Caenorhabditis elegans: one gene and its partner. The protein of the gene in region 2 interacts with the protein of the main gene of each other region in a pairwise test. Each region holds a gene or a part of one and is shown on either strand. Other genes may lie near its edges.

The links.
Region 1: the proteins of lin-56 (region 2) and lin-15A interact in a two-hybrid assay, tested with the Caenorhabditis elegans proteins (2 studies listed by BioGRID).

What each region holds. Positions count from the first base shown.
Region 1 is NC_003284.9:15,730,127-15,737,605, forward strand, and holds lin-15A (Protein lin-15A), read left to right. Parts: upstream 1-1,841; 5' UTR 1,842-1,848; coding exon 1,849-2,127; intron 2,128-2,594; coding exon 2,595-2,684; intron 2,685-2,735; coding exon 2,736-3,173; intron 3,174-3,678; coding exon 3,679-3,783; intron 3,784-3,830; coding exon 3,831-3,998; intron 3,999-4,056; coding exon 4,057-5,136; 3' UTR 5,137-5,239; downstream 5,240-7,479. Other genes in the region: Protein lin-15B, read left to right, coding at 1-243, 297-1,370, 1,420-1,485; srg-64 (Serpentine receptor class gamma), read right to left, coding at 6,718-6,831, 6,882-7,063. UniProt on the Caenorhabditis elegans protein: Synthetic multivulva (synMuv) class A protein. SynMuv proteins are required to repress the induction of vulval development.
Region 2 is NC_003280.10:10,446,337-10,453,993, reverse strand, and holds lin-56 (Protein lin-56), read right to left. Parts: upstream 3,988-7,657; 5' UTR 3,225-3,987; coding exon 3,051-3,224; intron 2,958-3,050; coding exon 2,751-2,957; intron 2,695-2,750; coding exon 2,590-2,694; intron 2,535-2,589; coding exon 2,052-2,534; 3' UTR 1,989-2,051; downstream 1-1,988. Other genes in the region: ZK673.4 (uncharacterized protein), read right to left, coding at 1-10, 66-239, 687-847, 984-1,074; putative adenylate kinase isoenzyme ZK673.2, read right to left, coding at 4,121-4,238, 4,918-5,036, 5,087-5,185, 5,319-5,509, 5,576-5,717. UniProt on the Caenorhabditis elegans protein: Required for translation, stability and/or localization of lin-15a.

The DNA of each region.
Region 1 (7,479 bases), on a different chromosome or scaffold from region 2:
CTTTTCATGGCGCGTGAGAGCAAAACGTACATTTGCCGTCTCCATTTCCTGGAGACCCTCGACGAGATCTACCAGATGCTACGTCTGAAATCTGCCGATGATATTCTGATTTGCCCATTGGACTTGATTCAGAACGCATTGATCACTGTTTCCGCCCTCCGTCCACACATTATTGCTTCACAACTTCGAAAGATTCTTCACGATTTTGCCGAAAGAAATAATCATCTTCGTGAAACGCCAGCGGTAAGTTTCCGTTTTTAAAATTGCACATTTTGAAACAAATTAATTGTTTTTAGGAATTGAAGAAACTTGGACAACAATACTTTGACTACCGCGAGCCCGAACCTGAGCCAGAGAGAAACGATGTGGATGAGCAAGAAATCATACCGAAACTCTTTCGCCAGCCACGCAAGCAAGTTCTGGAAGCTGATCAGCATGACGGAACTGTCAAGGTTATAGAGCAGGAAGATTTCAAGCTCCCAACTGTCAAACCGTCTGAAAATGAGGAATGCGACAATCCGGGCGTTTGCTGCTTCTGTTCGAAACGTGGCGACCGAGGTGGAATGCTTCGTGTCCCGAGAAGTGAGGAACGTTTGGCTAGATGGGTGGATAAGCTTGGACCAGAATTTGAAGCCCGACTTCACACCAATACGGAAAACCTAATTTGCCGAAGCCATTTCCCAGATGCAGCGTTCAGCAGTCGTGGTAGACTTTTGAAAGGAATGATTCCAGATGCTGCTCCAGAAAAAGTTGAGACCACGTATATCATTCAAGGGAACAACTTCCTCAAACTCAAAGAGCGCAAGTCTGGAACTGATAAGAATTCAGCCATTGATTTGGCGAATATGTTAAACCCCGACGGTGTTGAATATACTCAGGAAGAAGAAGAAGAAGAGGAATATGAAGAAATGTCAAGATCCCCAACGGAAGAGACTTCAGACGACGAGCCCAGTCAAGCAGCAGTTTACAACAATGCTCCAGTGATAAAACGTACCTATAGAAAGCGGGAGTTGTCAAACGAGGATGGACCTCTTAACTTGGTAACACCACCTGCTCATACTCCGAACCCAAGAGGGCGCCCAAGGAAGTATCCCAAGAATAGTGTAACACCAGAAGCTGAAAAAAGCCTCACCGACTACGACTACAATCCGGGAACATCTCAACGACGTGCACTTAAGAAAGGTTACGTACAACTCGAAGACGGAGAAATTGTCGGCGAAGATTGCGAATACGTGCCTGAAAAAACACCAAGTGGAAGATTGATTCGACAAGCTGTTGCTAGACGAAGCTTTGCTTTTGCTGATGAGGAAGAGGAGGAGGAAGAGTATGAAGAATCTCCAATTGTTAAAAAGCCCAAGATTGCTGGAAGAGTGAGTTTTTGAAAAATATATGCTTTGAATTATTTTTATATTTTTTCAGCCAGTCGGACGACCGCGCAAAGATGCTAATAAGCTGCCAACCCCCACACCACCCAGCAACGAATAAGTGGAAATATTTTCATCCACCGTTCCTGATTGTTGTTTTTATATATAATTTTTTCTCCATTGATGTTTTTGATGATTAAGTCATACGCATAGTTTTACCCTGTTACTTTGATTGCCCTTAAAATTACCACTTTTATTTTACCTATTTATTTTAATCATCATTCATCTGAAACCTCACAATGATGAGATGATCTCATCATTTTTATATTTTGTAGTTTTATATCAGTTTTATAAATGTTCACCGAAATTTGATGCCAACTGGTTTTTTTCTAATTCTTTCCAAATGGTTTCACATCACCAAATGACAATTTTCCTTTACTTTCCTATCTTGCTTATCATACACTATCACTTATTCAGATTCCTAATGTTGGCTCCAGCGGCTCCAGCTAAAGATGTTGTCTCGGCAGATGAAAAAGAAGAAATCATTGCGAAAAGAAAATTTCGAATGAAAAACGTTGATGCTATGCGAATGTCAAGCTTGGCGAACGATCGGATGGCTTTCAACAAGAAATGCAATGCCCTAGCGATGAAGTTTGTTAAAAGTGCCGGCATTGGAACGGATGCTCTGCAGCTCACATGTTTCCAGGAGCTCGTCCGGCATTTCAACCCAATTGCCGCAGTTGTTGTTGGTGTCAAAAGAGAGGTATGGCTTTTTAAGGATTTTCTCCCATTTTCTGATATATCTAGTTAAAGGTGGAGTAGCGCCAGTGGGGAAATTGTTAAAAACTACTCCTTTAGTGCCAAAAGGACCAAATATCAAAATAAAACTTTTCAAACATTTTTTGAAAATTTTTTATTTACTGTCAAAAAGTGACAATCATTCAGTGTTTGCCAATCATAATTTTGGAAGTCGACAAAAAAATGTTCTCCTACATTTAAAATGCAATTTTGTTTTGCCTACTTGTATTAAAACATTGTTGGGGTCGGAACATGCGACATTGCTGTGGATTTCCTCAAAAGCTCATATTTTTCATAGTTTTGGCAATATGCCAAAACTTTGACTGGAAATTATGAAAGATCTAAAAATTTTTGGAGTGTTTTATTATGATATTCGGTCGTTTTGAATCATGATAAGGTTGAATAAGAAGTGTTCTATCTTCAATGTTTCAGCCAAACTCCAATGTACAAGCTGAAAAAAAGACAATTCCAAAAGTCAAGACAATACAAACACCTACCCAGTCAATGGAATCTGTTCGATTGGTAAGCAGAAATGTTTGAAGATTATTCATAATAATGCGTATATGGTTTCAGCTCCAAGAGAAAAAAGCTTCAGCAACTGAAGAACAATCAGCTGAGTCTGCTTCGATCATGAAGCATTTTGCGAATACAATTCCAAACTCAACACCAACGCAAAGCGTGAAGGATGTTCTGACGGCGGCTGCAAGCAAGGGACAATTCAAAAGTAGCGCGGAAATTTTTTCACACTTTCCAAGTGAACCCAGCCCCTCGAAACCCCGTGCCACACGAGAGGGATCTCAACCGAGTGACTACACGTATTGTACCTATCTGACTCCGTGCATACTCTGCGAGAAGGCTCTTTTAATGCGAGAAAGCATTGCAATGACTGATAACGAAGCTGTGAAAGTTTTGATGGCGGCAGTGATGTCTGGCCACTTTAGAATGGCAACTGCAGAGAAAGCGATTCGTCATGAGAGGCTAAGGATGTGCTATGATCATGTTGATTTTGTAGTAAGTTGTTCAGTATTTTTTTCAAAATAGTTAAGTTTGAAAAGCTGTGAAAACTTTTCTAAAGCTGATTAGAACATAAATTCTAATTTAAAAGTTATTAATTTTATTTATAATTTTCATGGCAAAAGTTCAAAATTTTTGGTGTTTTGTTTAGTACAACCTCTATTTTATTTTATATATGTGATCGATATTAATACATTAGACTAGAAAACAAGAATTAAAGGACGATCCGTTCTTCAAGTCCTATGCACTACGGATCTGGGATTCAGGTGGTGCTCCCACTGAGTTATAATTTAAGCCACGTCCTAGCCGGGGACTGTGGCCGATAATCCTATCGTGGACTGCTCTACTTACCAATAGAGGCTGGATGAAAACCTAGGTGGTGAGGTTGGACTTGAACTTGTGACCTCCAGATTGCTAGCGGCCACCACTACCGACTGAGCTATCCTGCCCCCTTTTAGTTTAGAGATTTTAGTTTAAAAAAAACCATACACCACTTTTTCAGTACGAAATGATGTGCGACGCCTTTGAAGCTAAAACGGAAAGCGAGATCAATGAGATGCCACCGGACAGATTGATGCGTGGCCATGATATCTATAGAGCACTGAAGGTTTGATTGTCATATCTCGTTGTTCTACAACGGTGAAATGTTTTAAGAGAGTCGGCGACCTGCACAAAGGGAAGGTTACGTCGAACACTCCGCTTTACTCATTCAAGAATTCCATTAAATCTTATTACCGTAACCACGTGCCAAGGATGGTCAATGGGTCTCTCAGTAAACCGTCTCCCAAACCGTTCTCAGAGCTGGTTGCGCTTTTGCAATCGGTGAGTCTTGTGACACTTGTGAAAATTTTAAAAAAATTTAAAAAATTATTCGTTTAAGGTGCCTCCATCGACGAATCTAAATGAGTTGCTGAATCATAATCTTAGCCTCAGTGATGCTGATAAGCAAGAACTCATTCAACTCATCAATGGGAAAGATAATCGTTTCACATCTCGGAGACGGAAAATCGAGGATATTCTTGACAACAAGTTTGCTGCTGCAGCTGCAAAAGCTTATCGAGATCACAGTGAAGATGCACCTAGTGAACCGTATATTCCCAATCAAAGTGAGATGCAGAACACTGTAGAACGCAGAAAGCGAAAGCTTCATTCGCCTGAACAGGATGATGCTGGATCATCGAGTATCTCATGGAACGCAAAAAAAACGAAAACTCCAATTGACTATGTTCACCTAGCAACGCGTGTTTTGGAAGGTCATTCAATTGCCGACGAGGCGCTTTTGCACAAATCCAAAGTTTCTTATGCTCGTAATGCATTTGGTGAGAAGCCAAGCTCCCCCACTCCGCCATCTGCGCCACTAAAGTTCTGTGTTGTCAATGGAAAGAAATACTTGCGTTTTGAAAACGGAACCGGACCTCCGAAAGTTGTAGTTCAAGGGAATGTCGTTCTTCGCACTAATACTCTTAAAGACGCATTGACTACAGCGCCACGTGCACAAAACCAGCCTTCTACGTCCACAGACTCATCAAGCTCATCCGAGATGGAGGGAATACGTCAATCATTTGGGGCGCCTCAAAAGGAAGAAGAAGAAGAAGAATTAGTACCTACGCTTCTTCAAAACAAACCTACCCACGTGGAATCTTCGAGCCCCGTTGAAAAAAAACCACCAACCAAAACGAACGTAGAGAAACCAGCGGTCCGTCTAGGAAGAATGTTAACGACTGCATTTGGTTCAATGAGTTACCGAACAAGAAAATCGGTAGAGAATAAAACGGATCTCTTAAATCAGCCAACATCTGCCTCACCAAGACGCATGATTAAAGTTGTGAGAAACCGAAATCCTCACCTTGCGAAACAAGTGGCCGCCGCACCGAGTGAGCCAAAACATATTCCGCCAACGCACATGGAAAAGAAGCCGGAAGAGTTGCTCATGGATCCAAAGCCTGAGCCAATTTTTTAAACGTTCTTGATAACTTTGATTATTATCTTTTTAGTTCAATTTCATGTTTTTTTTAAACTGTTTTTTTCTCATCACAATCGATCTTATAAATATGTTACTTGTTATCAAAACTATTTCAAGAATTTCGAGTTTAGCGCATTTCGTGAGGAGGAAGTCTGAAATTAAAAGTTTTTGCAATGAATTTTTGTTCGGTCACACGGAATTTTTCAGGTTAGAAAAGTGTTTTGTGCGTGTTGGTTTTGTTGACGTCTTTTCAGAAAAAAAATTTAATGGTGTTTATTGATTGAAACCCGTATCCAAAAGATAAAACAACATACCGCAATTCCAAAAAAGAGCAAATTATGTTTGCCGGAAATGTTTAATTCCGGCCATTTGTCGATTTGCCGGAAATTTTCAATTCCGACAATTTGCCGATTTTCTGGAAGTTTTTAATTTTGGAAAGATGCCGATTTGCCGGAAATTTTCACTCCCGGCGATTTGCCGATTTGCTGGAAATTTTCGATTCCGGCCAATTGCCGGAAATTTCAGTTCCTGCGATTTGTCGGTTTTCCCGAAATTTTTAATTCCGGCAATCTGCCGATTTGCCAAAACTTTTCAATTTCGGCAATTTGCCATTTTGCCGAAAACTTTCAATTCCGGCAATTTGTCGATTTGCCGGAAATGTTCAATACCGGCAATTTACCGATTTGCAGGAATTTTTCAACTCCGGCATTTCGCCGATTTGCCGGAAATTTCAATTCCGGCCATTTGTCGATTTGCCGGAAATTTTCAATTCCGACAATTCGCCGATTTGCCGGAAATTTTTAATTCCGGCAATCTGCCGATTTGCCAAAATTTTTCAATTTCGGCAATTTGCCATTTTGCCGAAAACTTTCAATTCCGGCAATTTGTCGATTTGCCGGAAATGTTCAAACCGGCAATTTACCGATTTGCCGGAAATTTTTAATTCAGTCCATTTGCCGGAAATTCGCGATTCCGGCAATTTGTCGATTTGCCGGAAATGTTTAATACCGGCAATTTACCGATTTGCCGAAAATTTTCAATTCCGGCAACTTGCCGATTTGCCGGAAACTTTCAATTCCGGCAATTTGTTGTGCAAAACTTCAATTTCCGATCTGCCGAAAATTTTAAATCCCGGCAATTTGTCGATTTGTCGGAAATTTTCAATTCCGGCAATTTGCCGATTTGCCACATTTTTCAATTCCGGCAATTTGCTGATTTGCTAAATTTTTCAATTCCGGCAATTTGCCGGTTTGCCGAAAAAAATCGTTTGCCGCTCACCCCTCATTCATACATTATTCATTTTCACATACATACTATCTCTCTGTCAAAATCTCATACACCCTCCTGTACTCCCCCCTGCCCATTTACATCACTAGAGAGTATCGCGAAGACGGTCATTGTTGCCCCTTCGCTATGTGTAATTCAGTGCAGTATTTATTGATTTATTTTTCATATACGATTTTCACCCCTTAGCTAAAAAACTGCGATACATTGTTTTGAAAAATGAAATAACATGAACATCTAAATAATGTTTAAACGTGAAATAGCCAACAATAACTACGCAGACTTTATTGAAAATCAATTAGTGAGTACAAGCAAAGTTCCTGGTGCAGATTGCTTGGTGATCCTAAACAAATCACTTTTCACATTTGAGTCGTAGATCAAAAGAATAAAAGGTAGAGATAATGTGAACTGGAAGAAAATCAATAAATGTTCTTTCTGAATTCATAAATATAACTCACAATATCAGACGCAAAAACTAACAGCATATTGTTGAATTTAAGGAAAAAATCGGGTAGAAAGTTTAGATATGAGTTGCAAGAGTTTAGTACACTCCACATAACCTCCGAGGTGTAGACAACTGAATAGGTAAGCGATATTTTTGTCAGCTTTCTGGAGATACTCGCATTGAGAGTACTTCCTCCTGAAAAGTTTTTAAAGTTTGTTTAAGGAAAGTAGTTTAGTTGGCGAAGACTAGCAGGGGTGGGAATTTTATGTGTTTATCAACCCATTCAGTGTATGCTTCTTCAAGTTGTTTTCACAATTTCTTTTTGTTTTAGGAAAAATTTAAGGTGGAGTACCGCCAGTGGGAATTTCGTCTAAATACACTTATAATGATCCAAAACGACCAAAAATATTTCAGACTTTTCATAATTTCCGGCCAAAGTTTTGACCAATTGCCAAAGTTTTGAAAAACATTAGCTTTTGAGGAAATTTAAAGCAATGTCGCATATTCTGATCCCTACAATGCTTCAATACGAATAATTAAAACAAAATTACGGTATGAAAACTGTTGAAAAAAAACATTTTTTTTTGGTCGACTTACAAAATTATGATTGG
Region 2 (7,657 bases):
TGAATTTATTCTGAAAAAAAAACATTGGTTGAAGATCTACATTGAAGTGCATTGATCTGACTTACCACAACATCCGCACTCGGGATCATCACCAATGGATTTAAATGTCGTAGGACAGAGATGAAGCTAGCATTATTAACAAGATTAGCAGGTAATCCACATTTTCGAAGAAAACTCGTTATTAAATTTGTAGTTTGATTGTGGAATCGCAGTTGCTCATCGGATGGCTGGCAAAGCATCTGAAATAGAAAAATTTAATAATTGAGAAATAAATTTCACCTTGTCTAAAATGTGGGTTTTTTTAATCTCAGTTAACGTTTTGGTAAATTGCCAAAATTCCACTTATACTTTACTTTTACAAAATTTGGAATTAAAAAAATAAAAAAATAAAAAATAAAAATTTAGAAAATTATTGCATATTTAAAAATAAGTATTTGGAACGTAATCAACAAATTTTTAGAAAAAACCGATGTTTTTGATCGACTTCCAAAGTTGAAAGTTTTGGTAAAATGCCAAATTTTTTATAAAAATTGGCTGTTTTTAATGTTGAACATTTTTAAAACATTCTTTGATGAAAAAAATAACGTTTTTTAAACATTGTTTTTCTCACTGAATAATTTAATTTTTCATTGAATCTTGCCCGATTAATGTGAACTGCAATTGTATCTATAATTAAGAATACCTACATCTGCTTTCAGTTCCATTTTTTCCACTTTTGGAGCCACTGGGAGTACTGTAGGTGGAGTAGTTGTATTGAGAGTAACTTGCGGAGGCTGTGATCCGTCAACTTCTGCAAACTCATTTGGATGTAACCTTTTCATATGTTTGATCTGTGGATACGTGGAACCTGAAAAAATACTGAAATTGATGGAAATTAAAAAAAAAAAAAACTACGGTAGCTTTTAGATTCAGAAACTATATGGTTTTGCTCTAGAGATTTACAGAAAGTCGATCTCTAAAATGTTTTTTTAAATCCAAATCACCTTGTTGTCCTCTTTTTCCGATATAATTACAAATTTTGCATCTAAATCTTCCTTCTTCTATAGCATCGTAGAACTTTGCAATTTTAGACATCTGAAAAAAGAATTAAAATAATAAAAGGAAAACTCAGATATTTATCTACAGAAAAAATGAAGTGAGGAAAAACTAAGAATTGAGAGAATGTGGGTATAATTGCCGGTTGCTAGGTTACGGCAACTCGGCAATTACCTTCTCGGTGAGCCACCACGATTTTGGATCCACATTCCTGTTCATAAATGCAGAGTAAGTTTGAAGATGAAACATGTCAAGTCATTCGGCAACCCGGTTGCCGTGGCTGGCAATTGGAAAATCAATACGTATTTACCAAGCACCGACGACCACCGACTTTTTCGGCACACTCAGCGGAGCGCGTTTACAATTTGGTGTTCGGCTGTGTGCGCGTTCAGTAGTCTTCGTGTTTTTTGCAATAAAACAAAACATTTGGAAATCTGAAATATTTCTCGGGCATTTCCAGCGCTAAATAACTCGATACAAAATATTAATTGTGCAAAAAATAGATATATTGTAATTTCACAAGATTTTGACATTTCTTATTAAAGGCGCACGGATTCATCCAGATGGGTCTCGGCACGATAAAAGTTGATGGTATTATTTTTTGTGGCAGCTTTCTAGTTTATTCTCCTTGCATTTCTCAATGAAAAAACATAGTTTTTTGCGAATTGTGTTGCTTTCTTTTTATTTCCTGGCCGACAAACAGAAAATCACACATTTTTTGATGAAAAAAAATAGTTTTTGTAATGCGAAAACTGATTTAAAATAATTTTTAACAGAAAATGGATCAAAAACGGCAAAAACTTTTTTGCGTGCCAAGACTCATCTGGATAAATCCGGGCGCCTTTAAGAGGCACATCAAAATCATGCGAAATTACAACAAGTCCTGAAAAATTTATAGATTTGTGCACTCTGGAGGCTAAAAGATTCGATTCAATGTATTGGTTGTGCAGGAAAATTGTTATATGGTTTTATTGACAAAAACAAAAAAAATTTCCAAAACGTTTGATTAAATAAATTCAGGCTTCATCATCCTCGCTGTCGGTGATCGGCGCCCAGTATCCCTCTTCTTCAACGTAGTCCTTTTTTCCTGGCTTTTCATACTTTTTGTCTGAAGCTTCATCTTTCAATTTGTTGCTATATTTGTCCATTTGCTCCACTTTTTCAGGAAAACCATTTTGCTGCAGTTTTTGGGACGAATCAATTATATCACTTGAAGAAAAGTCGGATATAGTTTTGTCAAGTTCATGAGTTTCAATTGGTTCCAGTTTTACCTCCACTAGGTTTTCAGAAAACTTCGATTTCTCTGCAGCTTCTTCTTGTGGGCTCTCCATTTTAATTTCTACGTTTTCTGAATCCATTTCTTCAAAACATTCATCAAAATGAGAAGATTCTTTATCCTTTTTGTCGTCATCAATTTCACCAAAAGTATCCAAAAATGATTGCAATATTGATTTAAAATTGCGCACATCGAACTTTGTGAACTGCTCGCCCAGGGAAGACTGAAAATTTTTATTTTAAATTTAACTTTATTAAATTTCCAATTAAATAACTTACTCGAATCATCGTGTAGACTTTGCACCAACGATTGGCAAGACTGTATTTTGCATGATGAGCACAGTAGGTGTTCTCGATTTGCAGTCCTTCGAAGATGACATGGAACTGGAATTAAATCTTTTTTTTTAATTTTTTCCTTTTCAATTTAAATTAAAACTTACAATACTGTTGAAATGTTTCGTGCATGCTCGAAGACTCTCCTTTCGAATTTGATTAACTGCATCACTTGGATCTCTACAGTAACCAATTACTGTCGCTGTGAGAATAATTGAAGCATTATCGATGCTTAATGTCACTGCGGAATCTGATTCAGTTTCCATTCCACACACAATGCAACGAATCGGTGATTTTAGCAATAATTGTTTTTCCTGAAATACATGTTTTTAAATTATAATATTAAAACTATTTACTTTTTCAAGTCTCTGCAAAAAATCTGCAAAAAAAAAATAAATAAAACTCACAATTTCTGGAACCGTTGGAATTGGAGCCGTGGGATTCAAATACGCAAAGAACTCCAAAAAGCTGTCCATATTCACTATCGTCGCATTCTGCCCAGTCTTTTCGATGAATTCCGCCAATAATCGGACAGTAGTTTTGTTGAATTCAGCGGTTCGGTACATAGCATGGTGATCCATTTTTTAAAGGTTTTTTAATTGTAAAAATGCCACAAAATATCTAGTTTTTTGCAATATAGATTGTAAATTAAACGAATGAAGGAGAGAAATCGGGAAATTTCGTTTCTCTCCTCTGCGTCTCCCATTTCTTTTGAATTTTCAACAGAGCGCGTTTGCACTCTCTTTACTTGAACATATTTTTTGCGAGGACATTCATTATTTCCTTAAATATTACAGACTCGAAATGTTACAATTTTTCGTTAAAAATTTGGTACTTGGTCTCGACACGACTAATTTATGTTTAACGAGAAAAAGTATGCGCCTTTAAAGAGTACTGTAGGTTGAAACTCTCGTTTATTCCCAATTTTTATCGATTTTTTCGATTCTCACGATGTGTTAAAAATTAATGTCTTTATATTGTTCAGTTATCGAGAAGTTGTCGTGTCGAGACGAGGTACCGTATTTTCAGCGAAAAAGTCGTCTCTCTCTGTCTTCTCTTCTATCCTGTAAACATGAAGCCTACGGTCAAAATCCGCAAATGAAGAACTTGAAAACAAATTTTAGAAATATGAAAAGATTTTCATTTACACGCAAAAATACCCATAACTTGAAGAGAAGAAAATAAGAAAACAAATAAATGAAAAATCATGTGTATAAAATCATGTGTGTCGTGTCGAGAAAAAATTTAAGAAATATTGGATTTCAAAAATCCGTTTTCAGATATAGGAAAATTGTTGGATAACAGGGGAAAACATGGGGCAAACCGAAATAAAGCGTTCATGGAGAAAGGAAGAGAGAAGAAAAAACAGCAGAATTAATTCGATTTTCTAGGGAGACTAACCCGTAATCAAATGGTTCAATGGGTGTTCAAAGGTCTGGATGGTTAGAGAAATAGGATACAGTATTCAGTGTAGAACTTATGCGTATGCAGTTCTTGGAGTTGTCGTCAAAAGATCACGACGCATCACTTCGGCAACCGACTCGAATACGGCTTTCGATGATTCACCAGACATTGTGATGCACTTGTTTTGCTTCCTGGAAATGAGAAAAGTGTTAATTAAGTAAATTTAGCTATTTGCCAATAACGCTCTCAAACAATGTCAATGAGATCGTTTTTTCAAAAAATAGCTTACTTTTATGAAAAAAAGGTACAGGTTTGTTGAAGACAGAGGTTTCAATCTTGAAAATTAGGCAGTCTAATCTAATTTTTGATCATCTAAGTTTTCAACAAGGATACTTCATTTTCTTGAAAGTGAATTATTTTCTGAACAACGGTCACATTTTTTGATTACCCATAAATGTATATTACATAGAAGTGGAATTTTGAGCGAAATATACGGTACCCGGTCTCGACAGGACAAACTTATGTTGAATGGAAAAATGTGTGTGCGCCTTTAAGGAGTACTGTAGTTTCAAACTTTAGCCGCAGCGGAATTTTCATTGATTTTTCGAATTTTTTCATTTAAAATATAAATATTTATTTGCAAAAACAAATTAAACGAACGTTTATTACAGTTAAAATTCGCATCCAACTAAAAATTGTCGGTTTTTGGTTTAAAAATTACAAAATTTCGTGTATGGTTAATAGGAGAAATTTTTAAACCCTATTACGTAATGGAATAATCGCCGAGGCAAAATAATTGCTTCGAAGAATTTTTATGTTTTTTTTTCAACATTTCAACATTTTTTATAGATTTTCAAAAACAAAACTCACTTATAATAGTCCAACACCTTGTTTTCTGTCTTATCGTAAACCTCAAGCCTCCTTCTTGCCACCTCCAACTGATCCGTGCTTCGCTTGAACAGTGGCTCTCCCGTGATATCGTCTTTGCCCTGTAAATAATTCATTAAAACAGGAATTAATTTTTTTAAAATCGGCTGACCTCCTCCTTTGGTGGATTCACTTCCAAATTGTATGCTCTTCCGGATGCTGGATGCACCAATTGCTTTGACAAACGATCGATGAGCACTTTGCGAGGAACCTTTAAAAATATTTGTTTTTTTTTCGTTTCTTGTTTAATTTTATTTCAAAAACCCACTTTTAAAAATTGTTTTTTTTTTCAAAAACCCACTTTTAAAAATTTTTGTTTTTTTTCAAAAACAAAAAACACAAACCTTCAATTCAACGATCAAATTCAACGGCGCCTGCTCTTCAACCATTTTCAGCTGGCTCATGTTTCGTGGATATCCGTCGAGAACGACACGTGGTCCTGCTTTAAGCATCTCCGCCAGTATGGCTCCGTTCAGAATACTGTCTGGAACGTGCTCGCCCTTGTTGAGGAACGATTGTGCACGAACTCCGAATTCTGCAAAATTTTAATGGTTTTTTTAAACTAATTTTCTTTTAAATGGCAGAAATTATCAATGCTTACCTGTCCCTCTGGCAATATGATCGCGAATAAAGTCTCCAGCAGCGAAATAATTGAATCCTAGGGGTTCGAATTCTCGCACGAGCATTCGTGCAATTGTTCCCTTTCCGCTGCCAGCAGCACCACTCAAAAGCACTCGATACATTAGTTTTTCGGCTGAAAAAGTGGAAATTAAAGTTCTGAAAATCATAGAATAGAATAATAAAGTATAAAGAAGCAATTAAAATTGAGTAAGGATGAATGTAATAAAAGAAAATCCCAGAATTATATAGTTTTAAAAGGCTTCTGACTAAACGTATCAGTAAAACTAGAAGGTGATAAATATATTATTTTGAGAAAACTTGAGAATAGTTCAAGCAAATTTGCAAAGAAAAGAACATATGTGTTTTAAACTCCACAGATATCCGATTGCAAGCAGAAAACGTGCCAAACTCAACGAATCTTAAACTCTAACCGAATGAGTTGAAAAACAGAGAAAAAAAAAGAAGAAAAATGTTGGCTACCAACAATTTAAAGCCATCCATGCAGTGGTCGTCATGAGAAGAAAGACGCAAATGACGAGTGATTTGGCGGAGGAACAGAAGAAACAGGCCGAAAGAACGAGCAGACGTGTGACTGTTCATGGAATATCACAGTTGACCAGACTGGATGGGAAAAAAACATCGAATCATGAGCTTCTGCCGTTCTTTCTCACATTCTTTAGACGTTCCATGTGCACTGAGATAGGACATATGATTCCAAGAAATATGCGAATTTTCTATCAACAACGTCAGTTGGTTCGAAAAAATTTAACAACTGGAAGCATGTCAATGTGACGCCACGAGAATGGCTCGTCATCAAACATTTTTTCTGCAAAAATGATAAGAAAATGAGTGCACACCACATGATTAGGCTTCATCATGGTTTTACACTATGATAACATGGGGGAAACCGATCGACGAATCAAATTAAATCACGATGAAGAGATACGGAAAAACAGGTTCTACAGGGTGCAAAGAACCTAGGTCATTCTTTCGTATGTACTAGATAACCATAATATTAATTGCTGGTGGTTTATTGCAGATTGTGAATCGTGAGGAATGTATTCATGAGAAGATCAAGGACTTTTTCTACAATATTCAGCCAATACATCGGAGTTAACTCTAAAGACAACTATGTGATGATAGAATCAAGATCACCAGGAGCCACGTGAGCAATGGCACCTGATCAGTTAGAAAGCTAGAACACCAACTGATGCCATCGAAACTTTAGAGGTTAACGGATATCCGACCTCCTTCTGGCGCCAAACCAAACCATATGATAAGACAGCAAATACGACCTCTTGGCACCTGAACAGTATGTGTGCTCCTCCGCTCTCTGCATAAAAATGAAATTAAAGCAAATATTTGCCGATTGGAAGCTTGAAAACTCTAAATTTACACACTCTCCACTTTTAAATTTTCACGTGAGCATTTTCCTAGAGAATAAAGAAATTGATTACTTAAAATTGGAATAAAGTGTTCAAAATGGAAAATGGTTTGACAGACATATAAATGAAAAATAATAGCGAAATTTCATTCGACCTTCACACTTGTTTGGCCTACACTGTCACATTACTGGTATAAACTAACAACATGATGTCATCGATGAAAGATACTTTGGACTATTCCATAGAACTAAAATTTTAGGATAGATATTTTAAAAACTAGATTATTTGGATTAGAGTAACTCAAACTTTAGGGAAGTTTGCACGGACAACTTCATTTAATATTATTCAATTTTTACCAGCGAACATTCAAAAAAAAATTGTTTGAAATATTTCTGTGATCTTTGTGATAAAGCGGTTTGACAAAAACGTTCGTCGGGTCAGATGGAAAAACGAAATTCAAAGTTTAAAATCGCAATTTCTCTCCGATCGGTTTCTGACAGAAAGCTCACATGATTTTTCTTCGTTGTTTCGTTTTTCGCCTCCCGATCACGTTGGCAATGAAAGAGTGAATAAATGATCACAAGGAACGATCAAATCTCAAAAATAGGAAGATAAGAGGATAACAATAATGTTTTTGAGAATAGAAACTACGGGAAGTTTAATATGTTTGTACAAAC